Linked DNA regions of Elephas maximus indicus. The protein of the gene in region 2 binds, or shares a complex with, the protein of the main gene of each other region. Links are inferred from orthologs where the notes say so. Each region holds a gene or a part of one and is shown on either strand. Other genes may lie near its edges.

Region 1 (7,968 bases), on a different chromosome or scaffold from region 2:
TTCATACATGCCTGATCTACTTGATTATAAGCTGCTTATCCTTTTTTGTACCCCTGCACCAATCCCATAGCCCTTAGCACAACACCTCAGACATACCCCTCAGGGAATGCACCTAAGAGAGATCCCAGCTGCCTTTGTGTGTGTGTTGCGGGGTATGTGTGGGTGTGTGCTCTTGGGGGGAACTGGGCCCATCACCCTTGTTCCCTGGCTCCTGCAGAACAGGTGTGCACACACTTCTGCCCAGCCAGCAGTCAGGTGCTCACAGCACATGGTGAAAAGAATGACTTTGTGTTCCAGGCCCAACTCTTACTAGCTATATAATTATAGGCAAGTTATCTAACCTCTCGGAGCCTCAGTTTCCTCATTTATTAAACAACGACAGTCTTAGTACCCGCTTCCCTTGGCACAGTGTCTAGCAAATGAAAATCCTAAACACTGGTCACTATTATTATGAACTATTATTACTATTATTATGAACAAGAAGAAAGTGAAAGGGAGAGGAAGCACCTGACCCAGGAACCTAAAAGACCTAAGTCCAGTCCCAGGTCAGTACACATGGGAAGGGAAGGACCTACTGTGTACGAGGTGGAGCTTAGTTATCATCTCAAGGGGGAAGAAATGACTCATCCACAATTAATTCGGATTCAAAGCTGAACCTAAAAGGGCCATAAATGGCCTACCAAGTGTTCTACAAATCCAGGGGAGGTGGGAGACCTCACTCTCAACTAAGGGCTCAAGCAAGGCTTCAGGGAGAAGGCCGTGAAGAATGGCCAGGCCTGGGACCAGCAGAGATGAAGGAGAAAGGGGAGAGGTGGGATGAGCAATGAAGATTCTCCACTTACCCACCCACACCCTCTACCCTCATTCCATCTAGGCAAATCTCAGTCACACTATCAACTCCTCCCCCCGCCCGCCCCCGCCGGACTTGCCAACCCCTGAATACCAAATGCAACCAAAAATCAAAAACAGAAAATTAAAACCTGAAAGGGGGTCACAGTTATGCCTGGCTCTATGCACCCCAGTCCCAACAACCCTTCCCAACCAAATACTTTACACCTAAGGTCCTCACAAGACTAATTACGTATTTTTGTTCTTCTCAATCATCTAGTAGGCAAAGGCTTACTGTGGATGGGACAGTATCTATTCCATCAGACTAAAAGCTACAGATGGGTGGAGACCTCGCCTACTGCCCCTGAATTCCGCCCCTCGCCCCACTCCTTAAAGGACCCCCTTAGAACCCGGTGTGGCTGACGTGGGTGTGCATCGACTACAGCTAAGCTGCCATCTTGGCATGCCCACCCCCCACGGGCAGTGCCTGGGTGGGGTACACCACCCTGCCTGCCTAGCACCCCAGGAGGTTCAGTACCCAGTATACCATCACCACTGAGTATACAACCCTACACTCAGAGCCTTAGGCCCTGAGGGGTTATGGGGACAACCCAGAAACAGAGCTGCCCAGCAAATCTCCAACAGCCCCAGGATAAAGGGTTTGATGGATAAGGTCAGAGATGGCGGCCCAGCAACCCAGCCAATCAAAGGGCAAATGAAAGCAATACACCTCTAGGGTCACAACACTGGTGGGCACAACACCAGGTCAGCGCCAGCCCACACCCTGAGGGGGCCAGCCCCAGGAAAGAAGCTGGAGGAGGCTGAAACTGGTATCCTAGCATCCTCTGTGTGAGTCTGTACCTCAAAGGAACCACACCTCTGAGTCAGACCTCAGCAACAGCAGGAAAGAGAGAGTAGAAAAAGGCAGGGATAAGGAACAGGGGAAGGCAGTATGGAGATAGACTGGGAAGGTGAAAGAAGGCACATCAAGAATGGGCTTGTGTCAGGACACCATGAGAAAGGTATGGGTGCCCAGGGTTGGCTGGCTTGTGGGGTGAGAAGGAAAACTAATCTGACAGAGAGGGCAGATTCCCCATTTGAGGATCAGATCGTGCAGCCCAGAAAGACAAAAAGCAAGCACTGGTGCAAAAAGGAAAAAAATGCAAAGGTTATTCTAGGATTAGGAATAAGGGGAGGAGCCTGCTCAGGTTAAGGATAGTGACTGATCTAGGATGAACCTGGGAGGAAGGTGATGATGCCTGTCAGCCCTCTTAGCTTTGGTACAGAAGAGGCCTTGAAGTCAGGAGACCCGATATTGCAGCTCTGCCTCCAGCAGGTTATGTGACCTTGGACAAGTCTCTTGCCCTGTCTGGGCCTCAGTCTCCTCATATGTACCACCAGAGGTTGGACTGCATGCGTTCAAAGGTCCCTTCCTGCCCTGACGTTCTGAGGTTCCATCAACAGAAGGCAGGGCTCCGTCCTGGCGTACAAGTTTGTGTGTGAAGGAAGAACTGGAGGGAGGGGCCTAGCCCAGATTTGGGTGGAGGAGAGAGAAAGCAGCACAGTCCTAGGTCAGGGGGCTGGGCGCAACGACAGAGAAAAGGCTGTAGGGGATGGGAGAGAAGGCGGTCCCTGGCTGGTGGGAAGAGGAGGGAAGGGGCTGCGCAGGGGGGAGAGGGGCAGTTCTAGAGGGAGGCGCTGTCTCAGATGAGGAAGGCTGTCCCAAACGGGCTGAGGGGCTGGGAGGAAGGGGCGATGCGGGAGCAGGAGGACGGAGGGAAGTAGGGGAGTGACCTGGGAATGGGACAGATCTGGAGGGAGGAGGTTACTCTAGGCCGGGGGCAGGAGAGTGAGGGGGAGAGAGAGGGGTGTATGTGGGGTGCAATCTGTCCCGGGCAAGGTGGGGGAGTTATCCCAGCTGCGGCACAGGCTCGGGGTGCTACCCGCCGCGGGGGCGGAGAGCTGGCCCTAGAGTCCTGCGAGGGCCGGACGGGAGGGTCAGTCTGGGGCTGTCCCGGGCCTGGCTCGGGCCCCTCCCAGAGCTCCGCGCAGGCCCCGGGGCGGAGGTGCGGGGGAAGGGGCCAGGCTCACCTTCTCCTTCTTCAGTTTGTAGGGCATCTCGGGCGGTCCGGACCCGGCCCGGCTCCTGCGGTCCCGCTCCGGCTCCGGCTTTGCTCGGCCGCACTCGGCCCGCTCCGGCGTCTTTTCGCCTCCGCCTGCGCGCTGCGCCCCGGTCGAGCCTTGTCTGAGCCTCCAATTGGCCCGAACCCTTATAACCTGCCTGACAACCCGGCGCCGCCTCCTCGGATTGGTCATTGGAGCCAAGCTGCTTCCTTTTTTTCTCATTGGAAAGAAAGAGTACAAACCGCCAGGGTTCAGCTCCCGGAATAGGCTGAAGTGAGAGGTCCCGCCCTAAGTGGGTCGAGCTTAGAGAAGGAGGCGGGGGTAAAGGGAAACCCAAGCTTGACTTGGAGCGCTGCTCTCCTGCAGCGGCCTTGGTCTTTCTTTGTAGTCTTTGGAGTTCTCTGTTCATTCTCTTCTAAAGTGGCTCTTTTTCCTCACTGTGCTACCCTGCCCAGTCCGAATTGAAGGAAAGAAGCCCTAAAATGAAGGGCACCTTTCTCTATCAGGGTAACGTAGCACTAGAGAGAACTCCCAAGGGCCCTCGAGGGCATTTACCTCCCTAGACTGGACTTGCAGAGGAGCAAAAGGGAAACCTGGCAGATCCTGGGCCTGGGTTTCTCAGGTTCTGAAGTCTGAGGCTCCCGGCTTTGTTGCAGCTTTGGGAAAAGGGTTCCCGTTCCTACTGGCATTGCCCTGGGATTGAGGAACCGGCTAGACTTGAGCAGTCGGGAAGACAGTGAAAAAGTAACGTCATTGTTGCGTGCCTCCAGAAAATCCATCCCTTCTCCCCACCCCACCCAAGCCAACGTCCTAATGGATAAGGCTCAATTCTTGCCCTCAAATGGTTCAGAGACTGGTTAAATGCATAGATTTGTATAAACAAATGATTAAGATCCAAAACCAAATCAGTTGCCATCTAGTAGGTTCTGACTCATGGCAACCCCATGGGTGTCAGAGTAGAACCATGCTCCCTAGGGTTTTCTTGACTGTAAAGGAGCCCTGGTAGCACAACAGGTTAAGCGCTTGGCTGTTAACCAAAAGGTTGGGGGTTCGAACCTACCCAGCCACACTGCTGGAGAAAGAACTGACAATCTGCTTCTGTAAAGATTATAGCCTAAAAAACATATGGGGCAATTCTACTCGGTCACATGGGGTCATTGTAAGTCGAAAATTGACTAAACAGCACCTAACAACAACAATCTTTCCAGAATCTCATCACCAGGCCTTTCTTCTGGGTGTGTTTGAACCATCAGTTAGCAGCAGATAGCAAAACTGCTTGCACCACCCAGGGACCTGTGATGATTAAGATACAATGTGATAAATTACACAAACCTAAAGACTACATAAGGAGCCTTGGTGGCACAGTGGTTAAGTGTTCAGCTGCAAACCAAAATTTTGGCCGTATGAACTCAACAGCCACTCCATGGTAGAAAAATGTGGCAGTCTGCTTCTGTAAACATTACAGCCTTGGAAACCCTATGGGGCAGTTCTACTCTGTCCCATAGTCAGAATCGACTCCAAGGCAACAGAAATGGAGAGACTACACAGAAGGGTATGTTTCAGAAAGGCTACTCCAGAAGCAGATTGGCTACATGAAGGAACTGGAGAAGGCTCCCCAAAAGTAAGCCCGTGGACCTTGCCCAGGAGAAAAATGTTATAAAACGGTGGCCATGAGGATGAAGAAGGGAGGATGGAATTGGGAAATGTGTGTAATCAATGGGATTTAGTGACTCATTGGATTCTGGGGAGATGGGAAGGGAAAGGGAGGAGTTGAGGATAACTGGGAAGTGGTCAGAGATGTTAGGAAGAAAACTGTCACAAGGCAAGGGAAGTAAAGTGTTTCTGGAAAGGAGAATTGTTCAATAGCGTCAGATTCCAGAGAAAGGTCAAGTAAGATAAAGATCAAACAGCATCCCCGGATTCTGTAGTTAGGAAGTTACTGGTGATCTCTGCCAAGGAAGTCTCAGGAGTGGCAAGGAAGTTGTAGTAGGTTGAGGGGTGAGCAAGAGGTAAGGATGTGATCATAGCAAATTTAGGCTACTGGCTATCTTATAGAAATTGTATTGGGCTTTCAGTGACTAATGATAATTTCCAGGTAACACAAAGTGAACTGGATGCCAGTCATTATTTACAAGGAGAAAATCCTGAAAGGAAATGACATTTATTTCCTGGGTATTTGTGTCTGTGGAGTCCCGGGTGGTGCAAACAATTAACACCCACTCTCAAAAGGTTGGAAGTTTTGAGTCCACTCAAAGGCACCTTGGAAGGCCTGGTGATCTACTTCTGAAAAATCAGGCATGGAAAACCCTATGGAGCACAGTTCTATTCTCACACGTGGGGTTGCCATGAATCAGAGTCCACTAGACAGCAACTGGTCATTTGTGTCCATATGGGTTCCAACCCCAGGCAGGGTAAAACCCATTGTCATCAAGTCGATTCCAACTCGTGACAACCCCATATGTTGCAGAGTAGAACTGTTCCATAGGGTTTTCTTGACTGTAATCTTTACTTGAAGCACTTACTGATGAAAATCAAAGACTACACCCTTCAGTATGGATTATGCCTCAACATAGAGAAAACAAAAATCTTCACAACTGGACCAATAAACAACATCATGATAAATGGAGAAAATATTGAAGTTGTCAAGGATTTCATTTTACTTGGATCCACAATCAACACCCATGGAAACAGCGGTCAAGAAATCAGAAGACATGTTGCATTGGGAAAATCTGCTGCAAAAGACCTCTTTAAAGTGTTGAGAAACAAAGATGTCACATTGAGGACTAAGGTGCGCCTGACCCAAGCAATGATATTTTTAATCGTCTCATATGTATGCAGAAGCTGGAGAATAAATAAGGAAGACCAAAGAAGAACTGATGCCTTTGAAATATGGTATTGGCAAAGAATATTGGATATACCATGGACTGCCAGCACGAACAAATCTGTCTTGGACGAAGTACAGCCAGAATGTACCTTAGAAGTGAGGGTGACAAGACTTGTTATCAGGAGGGACCAGTTCCTGGAGAAGAACATCATGCTTGGTCAGCGAAAAAGAGGAAGACCTTCAATGAGATGGATTGACACAGTGGGTGCAACAGTGGGCTCAAACGTAACAACAATTGTGAGGATGGTGCAGGACCAGGCAGTGTTTCATTCTGTTATACATAGGGTCACTATGAGAAAGAACCGACTTGAGGACACCTAACAACAACAAAAAATCTTTACAAAAGCAGATTGCCAAGCCTTTCTTCTGTGATCTTGATGGGTGGGTTCAAACCACCAACCTTTAGATTAGTAGACCAGTGTGAACTGGTTACGCCACCCGGGGACCTTCCAGGCAGGATACCAGATGTATTTATCCTTCCCTTTTTTTTAAGGTCCCAAGGAACACTACAGTCCTAAGGCCTAGAGCTTGCCTGCTACTGTATAAAGCAGATATATTCTTTTGGGCCTATCCACTGCCCTCCCAGTCCTTGGTCCCTCTGGGAGGCAGGGGACAGAGCCACATATAGTTTGTTGTTAGGTGTTGTCAAGTCACTTCTGACTCATAGTGATCCTATGTACAACAGAATGAAACACTGACCAGTCCTGCACCATCCTCACAATCGTTGCTACATTTGAGCCCATTGTTGCAGCCACTATGTCAATTCATCTGTACTTTACCAAGCATGATGTTCTTCTCCAGGGACTGGTCCCTCTTGATAACATGTCCAAAGTACGTGAGACGAAGCCTTGCCACCCTCGCTTCTTAAGGAGCATTCTAGCTGTACTTCTCCCAAGACAGATTTATTTGTTCTTCTGGCAGTCCACCATATATTCAATATTCTTTGTCAACACCATAATTCAAAGGCATCAAATCTTCTTCAGTCTTCTTCAGACATACCGTTCAGTACCACCAAATGAGAACTTTCATCCATGTGAATCCAGGTATCTAACACGTTCTTGCATGCTGTTTCGAAGAAGTGTGTCTGGGCTCTTTCAGGTTTAGGACTGGAGGTACTTCCAGGAAATATAATCAGACAATTGATGATTTCCTGTCAATCTGTGGATAGAAATCTCTCATAACATGCAAATCTAATATTCAATTTTCAAATACTTGAGTTTCAAAAATATTTTCAGGAACGCATAACTACGAAGTAGAAGATGTTCAATTGTGAAGGAAAGCAGAAAGTTGGGCAGAGCTAGAAGAGAGGCAAGGTCCAAAGAGTAGATTACCACCATTCCAATCCACTGACTCTGGGTGCAAACGTATTGTTAATAATTGGAAATGTGTGGCCTACAAATCAGTGCGGGTGGAGACAAGGGTGCAATCTCGGTAACACCACAGGTGGGAAGCAGGCTGTTGTATTGGTGCTGATTATGGAAGCAACGACGCCCTCCTCTAGGGTCTCCTAGAGGTTAGGGAATGGGTCTCCGGTTTGTAAGTATTGGTAAGGGGAGAGTAACCGGATTTGGAAAGATGTAAGACCGAAGCTGCTTTGTCTTCGCTCCCAGTTTGGTGGGTGTAGAACGAACAGGACAAGACGTGTTGGAACATGGGTTTTGTGTAGGATGTGTTGGAACAGGTGTGGCCGCACCAAGCACTCCAGGGCTACATGAATCACATGTAGTAATTCAGTCAGCAGCCACTACATATCCACAAGCACGTCTAACACAGGGTTTTATAATCCTACCACTCTCCTGCTACCCTCCCCACAACCCGAAACCTCAGTTCCTACAGCTCCACAGAGGGAGGAGTCGATTCTTTCCTAAACACAGCCCCCAGCACTGGGCCCAGTCGCTCCAGGGCACGCTGACTGTTCAGTGGTCAGTCAATAAACTGTCAAATGCATGCCAGTTAACAGAGAGAACCTTTCTTGCCTACAAGACGCCTGCAAGCACAGGCTCAAAGAGCGCAGGCGTAAATGTTACGTAACCGCAGAGATGCCTGCCATTGGAGCACCTCCTGACCTCTCCGAGGCGCAGTTGCTTCCTATCAGAGCATGCTCGCTGCTCCCGACTCCCCTCCCACTTTCC
Region 2 (7,563 bases):
GGGCAGTTCTACTCTGTTCTACTGGGTTGCAATCTGTTGAAATGACTCAAAGGCAATGGGTTTTATTGGTTTATCTCTAACAAGTATCTTAAAAAAACTATTACTATAATGGAAAAAAATTAAACTCTCAAAAATTTGTACAATTTCTACTCAGAAGCCACCACATCGAAGAGTATCATATAGTTTTCACTCAGTGGTGCTACTGGACATACAAATACTAACAGTGAAAAGAGAACTTTTGTTTCACTAGATTACAGAGAAGACCATTTCAAGTCATGCATCCTAACACATCCCACATATCTAAAAAGCTGTCTTCAAATAATTTACTTTGGAAGGTTAATATAGTTCCAAAAAATTTGGTGTATTTACAAGCTAACATCAGAATGACAACTATGTTATGATACTCCCCCACAAAAAGGATCCATTCCATTGGAACCTTTATGTAATACCTAACTTCAAATACTACGTTCATCTTTTTGGCTGTCAGAACTCAAACCTAAACATGCTGACTGAGCAATGCAGATCTGAGAATAAGTGATTAGCCTCACTATACCTTAGTTTTACAAAGATGTGGAAAACAACATTTACCACCCCACTTTAGTCTCCAACACAAACTCTCTACTTCCACAGTCCACCTCCTTACTGACTACCATGCCATGCTTGTCTCTCCAACTGAATTCAAAGCTCCTTGAAAACAGGCTTTGTTATTCTTTGTTGCTTTTCACTCCCCGCATAAGAGTAAGCAATCCTGGATAGTCAACAGATCTCCAATACTTAAACACAAAGTACTAATTTATGATGAAATTGTATAATCTTGCAAGATTAGAAGTGACCTTAGAACATTTGTTTTAACTCCTTATACAAAGGAAAATGAGGACCAAGTGATGTAATTGCTCCAAGTTCAGTCACAACTACTAATTCTGTGGCAGAAACAGGACTAGTATCCAGGTCTAACTCGCAGCTCAGTGGCCTTTCAATTACATCATTACCTCTCTCCAATGTTTTCTACACAAATGACTAGTCGTCTAGCAAAGTCTTTATACAGAGCAAGTACTGAACCCTAAAACTCCATAAAATGATTATTTATAGTACCTAGAAATTAAGCCCTTGGCAATATATTCTAAGTTTTTAACAGCCTAATCTTTAAACCTTTGAAATACATACCAACCTTATCTAATTGAAGAACTTTAAAATTAAGGGTCAAGAAAGAAAAGATTCAGTACACTGCTATCCATTAAAATTCAGCTCCAATAGATGATGTGCCACCTCATCAACTGGTAGTGGAGTTTTGCCCAGACTTGGGATAAATAAATCTGAATTTGACTCACTTAAATTCCTATTATTCACAGCAGCTTCTTAAAAAGTCCGTCTCGGGAGCATATGCATCAAATTCATAATCCTGATTTTCACATTAAACCACAAACGAGTCAGCGTAACAGCTCTCCTGTAACTCTTTTCACTAACACAACATACTAACATGATATCGCACTATTTTATATTAAAATGAAATGCTGCAAAGGTAATTTTGAAAAGGGAAGTTAAAATGTTCATAGAGATCAGCATTTTCTATACATTAGAAAACGGGGTTCTAAGAAATACAACACAGCTGAACAAGTAATAGATAATCTATTAAGCTACCTGTTTCACCAACACCCAAGGAAAAACTAGAATTAGTACAAAATTAAAGTTTAGCGTTATTAAGTGGGCTATGACATTTCACTTTCAACATCTGTGAAATTATTTATTTACACACTAAGCAGTGTCTGCAATACACTGTCTGGAATGAACTCTATCAACAGCTATCATTACTACTACTACTACTTGCAGCCACAGAAATACAATTAAGTAACTTTTTCAAAAAAGACCCAGGATATAAAACTTGCCGTCCTTCCAGTTCATCATTTTAAAAAACAAATGGCAAAACAGCAAGTATGTTCAGCTTAGGAAAGGGTTCACACTACCCAATTTGAATCAGCGTATAAATCATAAATTAAGCCGACACTTGATTTCCAATTCAATAGCTCCTTATGCAGTGTGACTCACCAAATTCTCCATTTTTTCCAACTATGAAGAATTAGTTACTCCTCCTCATAACTACCGTGACCTTCGCAGAAACTGGGTTAGAGACTTATGTATAAGATGTTTAATACAAACCACCCAGGATAGTGCTAAAGCTCTATGACCTTTAGACAGGTTCTGGGATCTGGCCTACTTGCTTGCCTTTGGGGACTCTCTGCACAACGCTGAATCTAAAAATTATGCCTGAACACAAGTAAAAAGCAGCTTACCCACCTCACAGTGGAGGCCTAGGCCCCATTCCCGGGCTGCAGAACCCAAGTCCCTTTACCTGAATCTCAACACCGTCCCTGACCCTGATATACAGGGTCTCCGCTCCCCCTGCCACCCCGCCCGGCGCCGAGGGCCGGAGCCTCAGAACCCCCTGAGTCGGGGGAACGGCGCCATTTTAGGCGGCGGCGGCGACAACCAATCCTTCAGCGAGAGACAGGGGGCGCCGGGTCGCTCGGGAGCCGCCGCCGGGCCGCGCCGGGCGCCGGACTGGGAGGCTCGGGGGGCTCTGGCCGGCGGCCTCCGCCATGTTGCACCCTCCCCACAGGCACCCCTTCTTGGCAAGATCGGCCCCGCGGCAGCACCCGCAGCTGGAGTGCAGCTCACCTTCTCGCAGAGGCTCTTGACCTGGGACTCGGACAGCTGCTTGCACTCGTTCAGCTGCTCGATCCACTGGTCTAGCTCCTTGGTGAACACCTTCTCGTCCATGATGCCACCCGCCCGAACCGGCTGCCTCTCCGCCCTACTCCCGCGCCGCCGCCCGCACACGGGCCACACGCACACGCCGCCGCCGGTTGCCGGAGTACTACTGTGGCTACTGGCGGTTGCTCGGCGCTAGCGCTGGCCCACTGGGTGGCCCCGCAATGCTCGGCCACCGGCCGCTGCTCCTCCTCCGCTGGCTCTAGCTCCGGAGCTCGGCTCTCTGTAATGGCGGCCGCCCGGCGTGGTGACGTCACGCCCGGCGTCAGAAGGCGGCGGGTGCGGAAGAAAAAAAGCGCCGGGACACGAGCGGCGCAACTGCAGATCAGATCCTGGTCTACCGCAAGAACCGAGTCAGAGGGGACGGAAACTAGGAGCCAACGCGCAGGCGCATTCTAGCCGGCTAGTAACTGACGCACCTTCTCTTTTAGGGCGTGGTCTCCCAGAAGGGAAGGCTCGCGGGGTGGTGGGATAAAAAAAAACCGAATCCGCGCAAGCGCTGTGCCTGCAGCTGTGAATCGGGATTATCTCCGAACGCTACGCCCTACGAGACGCCCGCGCGAGCTTCGCGCAGGCGCAGTCCTCGTAGAAGGGGGCTTCCTAGCTGAGACTTTTCACTTGGGGAGGCCTGGTAAAACGTGTTAGTTCTTCACCTGGGGATTGGGATCCAGATCATGGAAACGAGAAGGCGACCCCATGGCTCCTCCATGGTTCAACAGCACTGGAATTGCGTGGGATTCACACATCTCTGGGGGCAGGGACAGGGCACCCACTCACTGGCACCCTGGTTGGAGTGACCACCCCGCCCCTGGGCGCGGCTCACCCCTTGTAATTAGGTCACACGTGGGCGGAGGAGAGTGTACCTGCGGAAAGCACCTGACTTCCGCCACACACCTGTCCCTGGGCCCGGGCACTCGTTGGGCGCAGTGATGGAGGCTAAGGCTTGGGGCTTCTCTCGCTCTCGCACGGCCTTTCCTGTTGTCGCCTGCTCCAGGTGTGCCTCCTCCTCCGACTCCAGTTTCCCCGGTAATGAGAGACCCCAGCCGCTGCCTGCCTGGCCTCCTTTCTAGAGGGACACACCGGTCCTGACCGTGTCCCAGTGGTGGTAGAAGCAGCTGTGATTCGCATTTTAAAGCAAACTCCAATACCATAGAATCGGACCTCTGTCTAGTTTATGAATCTCTGGTGTTTGCGAAAACGTTTTCATATTCCACAGAGCACTAACTCTACGTAGAGTGCCAGATACCATGCCTGGAAATAGAGGGGTCATTCAAACAGAAGGTACCCTTTGTTAGAGAAGGTCACATTCTTCCAATAGTATTAGCTTAAATTGGTTTGGGGATAAGCAGAAGAGCGTTTATGATGCTTCCAGGATCTGAGAGGTAGAAGCTTTTCGAAGGGCATTCAACCATAAAGGACAAGGCAAGGGCTGAGCCTGGTCTCGTGTCTTCTAGACCCCTAGCCCCAATTGCAGTGGACCTGGCTAAACGATGTAGTTGGGCAGAACGCTAGCTCTGTGTCTCAGAGGGCCTCATCTTGACCAATAGGCTGAAGAAGGCCCTGGAGGCCTTATCAGCTAATAAACCAAAAAAAACCCATTGCCATCGAGTCGATTCCGACTCATAGCTACCTTATAGGACAGAGTAGAACTGCCGCATAGAGTTTCCAAGGAGCGCCTGGCGGATTTGAACTGCCAGCCTCTCAGCAGCCGTAGCACTTAATCACTATGCCAGCAGGGTTTCCATTAATGGCAGGACTGAAAATCCGCCGTCGTCCAAGACAACCTGCTTGACGAGGCCCGCTGGCTTGGCCTCCCCCAACTGGAGATAGCAATTCTGCTCTCCCTTCCTACCTCCCTATCCCCCGCCAGCGCGCCCGAAAGAAAGTCCCTCAGATCTATTCCCCAGAAGGCTTATCACATACTTAATTTACCAGGCTGGAAAAAAAGCTCTTTTAGTTCAAATTCTGACCCTGTTTTGCAGTTAACATCCCAAAATAATAGAGGAACAAATTAAGGCCATGTGGAATGATTATAAAGCCATACCCAGTGTGCCGTCTCATCTTATTATTTACCCCTGCCCCGTACTTGTGGGAGAACTAGTCCTGTATAATAGGTCAAGAAGCAGTTGGGCACTCAGAAAAGAGAAGGGATTTGCCCAAGGTAGTGGCCAGGATTTAAAACTTGATTCTACCAAGTGCAAGGTCTTGGTCACAGTTATACAACTGACCTTCCAAGGACTGAAATATGGAATGGGATCAATCTAATTTTCCTTTGCTTGGGTTTTCTACCTAGAAAGGTGGTGGTGATATTAGTTTGATAGATTAATAAGTATTGAGCACTCACTATGTACTAAGGTCATGATGAGTTTTTCCAAAGCACTTTGAGCTCCTTAGTGGAAGTATTAATGGAAGTGTTATTTTCTCTTGATGCAGATGACTTGGCTCACCACCACCACGAAATGGAGAGAAGATATAATTATATGTACTTAAAACATCCTGCCAAATAATTAGATGCCATGACTTAACTTCTTAAGGAATGAATTCTAGGAAGCTCTCATTAGCATTCAGGCAGTGAAGTAAAGCATACATGATTATAAACAATACAGAACTAAAGTAAACCAAATATCTTTTCCTTTAAAAGAAAGGAACATTTTTTCCTTTAGAAGAAATCTGGAATGTTTTCTTACTCTGTAGCACTCAAAATAACCAATGGATTTGACAATTCAGCTTAAATAATCTGGTCTTAACTAATGTGAATTTACTGACTGAATTCTAGAGCTGAGGAATACTTGAAACAAAAATTTAAAGAAAACCAAAAAAGAATTGTTCTTTTACTTACTTGGCAAAAACCAGAAAGGGAATAAAGCAAATATGCTTGGAGAAAGAATCTCTGCTCAGATGGCAAATTCAGTATACATCGAGTCTGAGTGTTGCCTATGATGTTTTAAACATAGCTATAAATAAAAATCATCTGATGATGGGGCTGGGTAGGGGGAGGATAACCTTGAGCAACTAGTTTTATAATAGGTACTCTCAGCCAAGATATAAAAATTTATATTAAACATGGAGAAGGAACAAGATGTATCTTATTTCTAAGCAATTCTCTTGGCCTTTCGTTAGCTTTATTTTGTTGTTCTTTCCAGCTCCCTGATTTCTAAACTTACCGAGACAGAAAGTAGATCAGTGTAGGTAAGAAAAGGCACTGGGGTCGGATGGACGTAGGTTTGAATTCTGGTTCCCACCTTCCCAGCTGTGTGACCTTTGCAAGTCACCTAACTTTTTCTGAATTTCAGTTTCTCTCATCTACAAAGTGGGGATAACTGTAGTAGCCAAATAATAGGATTCTGCTGAGAATTAAATGAAATTGTGCCTGTAAAACACCAACACAGTATATAATAAATGTCCAAATAAGTATTAGATATTATTATCTCCAAGTCGTCTCTGATTGGAGCCCCTCAGTGTCTGTTTTTTACACAGTGAACAGAACATGTTTTTGTTAGCTGCCGCTGAGTTGGCCCCAACTCATGGCAACCCCATGTGTTACAGAGTAGAACTGTCCCATAAGGTTTTCTTGGCTGTAATCTTTATGAACTCATAGTGAGTCAGAATCGACTCACTGGCAGTGGGTTTGGTTTTTGTTTGTTTGGTTTAATTTTTATGGAAGCAGTTTGCCAGGCCTTTCTTCTCCAGAGCTGCTGGGTGAGTTTGAACAACCAACTCTTAGGTTAGCAACCGATTATAAACTGCTTGCGCCACACACTCCTTGCATAGAAGATAAGGATATCAAAAACATCATATAGAGACAAGGCTATAGGCTGAAGTGGGGATGGCGGAGGAGCTTAAAGGGAAAAGAGTTGGAGATGGAGCAAAAAGCACACCCCTACTCTCCCTTTACCATCAAGCAGACATTCAAAAAGCTTGTATAGAGAGAAAGTCACTTAGGAATAAATCCAAGATCTAATACAGCTGGTGAATGTCATGCTCCTGTCAGCTCAGAATCTTATATCTGAGAAAGGTGCCATATTTGAAAAGGATAACATGCCCTCTGCACTGAGGCCTTCTATTCTTCCAGAAGCCCCCAGAATAAAGGCCTGAGCAGTCAGCACCTTAGTGGCTCTGCCCAGGAAAAGCCAGCCGTGTTTTGGCCATCTGGACCTGCCAACTACCAGAACATTTCTGCATTCATCATACGCAACGATGCCTGCAATTTTTTGGTATCTATCATTATTCCTTTCCTTTGTGGTTTTCAGAAAAATTAAGGTTATATCTCCCTTTCACCCGGAATTAGAATTTTACAAATGTGGCTAAAATTCTGTGGCTAGGAACTTTGCCACTGGTATTATGCAGCCCTTCCCCCTAGCTATTGCAGTTTGGCTACAGAAGAAAGAGAGAGAAATGATCTTGTACCCTGATGATGCCCAGTTCGCCCAGATGCCATCTTCAGAGGGAAATTTTTTTTTTCTCTGTTGCAGAAAAATAAACTCTGAAGTGGAAGGCAAAGTTCATCACTTCAGAAGGCTGGTAAACTTAAGAATACTGTCACCAACTCTGCAGCTATTAAAAATTCTATCATAGAAGAGTGATTATTGACATAGGACATTATTCACAATATGTTGTTAAGCAAAAAAGTACCTTTAAAACATTATGTATGCTATAACCCCAATTTTATTAAGAATCTATTATAAATATATGGTTATAGATTATGGAAAAATGCACAGCAAAGTATTAATAGTGACTGTTTCTGGTGTGTTGGATTGTATTTTATTTTCTTTTTGTTTATTGATACTTCTGTAATGA

What was found.
Region 1: the proteins of PPP2CA (region 2) and PPP2R5D are in contact, whole or in part, in a cryo-EM structure (PDB 8U1X), measured with the Homo sapiens proteins. The link is inferred for Elephas maximus indicus from reciprocal best matches to the Homo sapiens genes PPP2CA and PPP2R5D. Residues at the interface, in NP_002706.1 of Homo sapiens: Arg89, Tyr91, Arg121, Gln122, Ile123, Gln125, Val126, Tyr127, Gly128, Tyr130, Asp131, Leu134, Arg135, Ala140, Trp143, His191, Trp200, Arg214, Ala216, Leu243, Met245, Tyr265, Tyr267, Arg268, Cys269, Arg302, Arg303, Asp306, Tyr307, Leu309; in NP_006236.1 of Homo sapiens: Ile80, Lys82, Asn188, Pro189, Ala192, Glu193, Phe194, Asp195, Glu198, Asp199, Glu200, Ile288, Tyr289, Glu290, Glu292, Lys332, Val333, Lys334, Lys367, Phe368, Trp369, Pro370, Lys371, Thr372, His373, Ser374, Pro375, Lys376, Ser413, Pro414.

What each region holds. Positions count from the first base shown.
Region 1 is NC_064819.1:107,397,307-107,405,274, reverse strand, and holds the start of PPP2R5D (serine/threonine-protein phosphatase 2A 56 kDa regulatory subunit delta isoform), read right to left. Parts: upstream 3,063-7,968; 5' UTR 2,947-3,062; coding exon 2,920-2,946; intron 1-2,919. UniProt on the Homo sapiens protein: The B regulatory subunit might modulate substrate selectivity and catalytic activity, and might also direct the localization of the catalytic enzyme to a particular subcellular compartment.
Region 2 is NC_064820.1:146,616,250-146,623,812, forward strand, and holds the start of PPP2CA (serine/threonine-protein phosphatase 2A catalytic subunit alpha isoform), read right to left. Parts: upstream 3,125-7,563; 5' UTR 2,776-3,124; coding exon 2,674-2,775; intron 1-2,673. UniProt on the Homo sapiens protein: Catalytic subunit of protein phosphatase 2A (PP2A), a serine/threonine phosphatase involved in the regulation of a wide variety of enzymes, signal transduction pathways, and cellular events.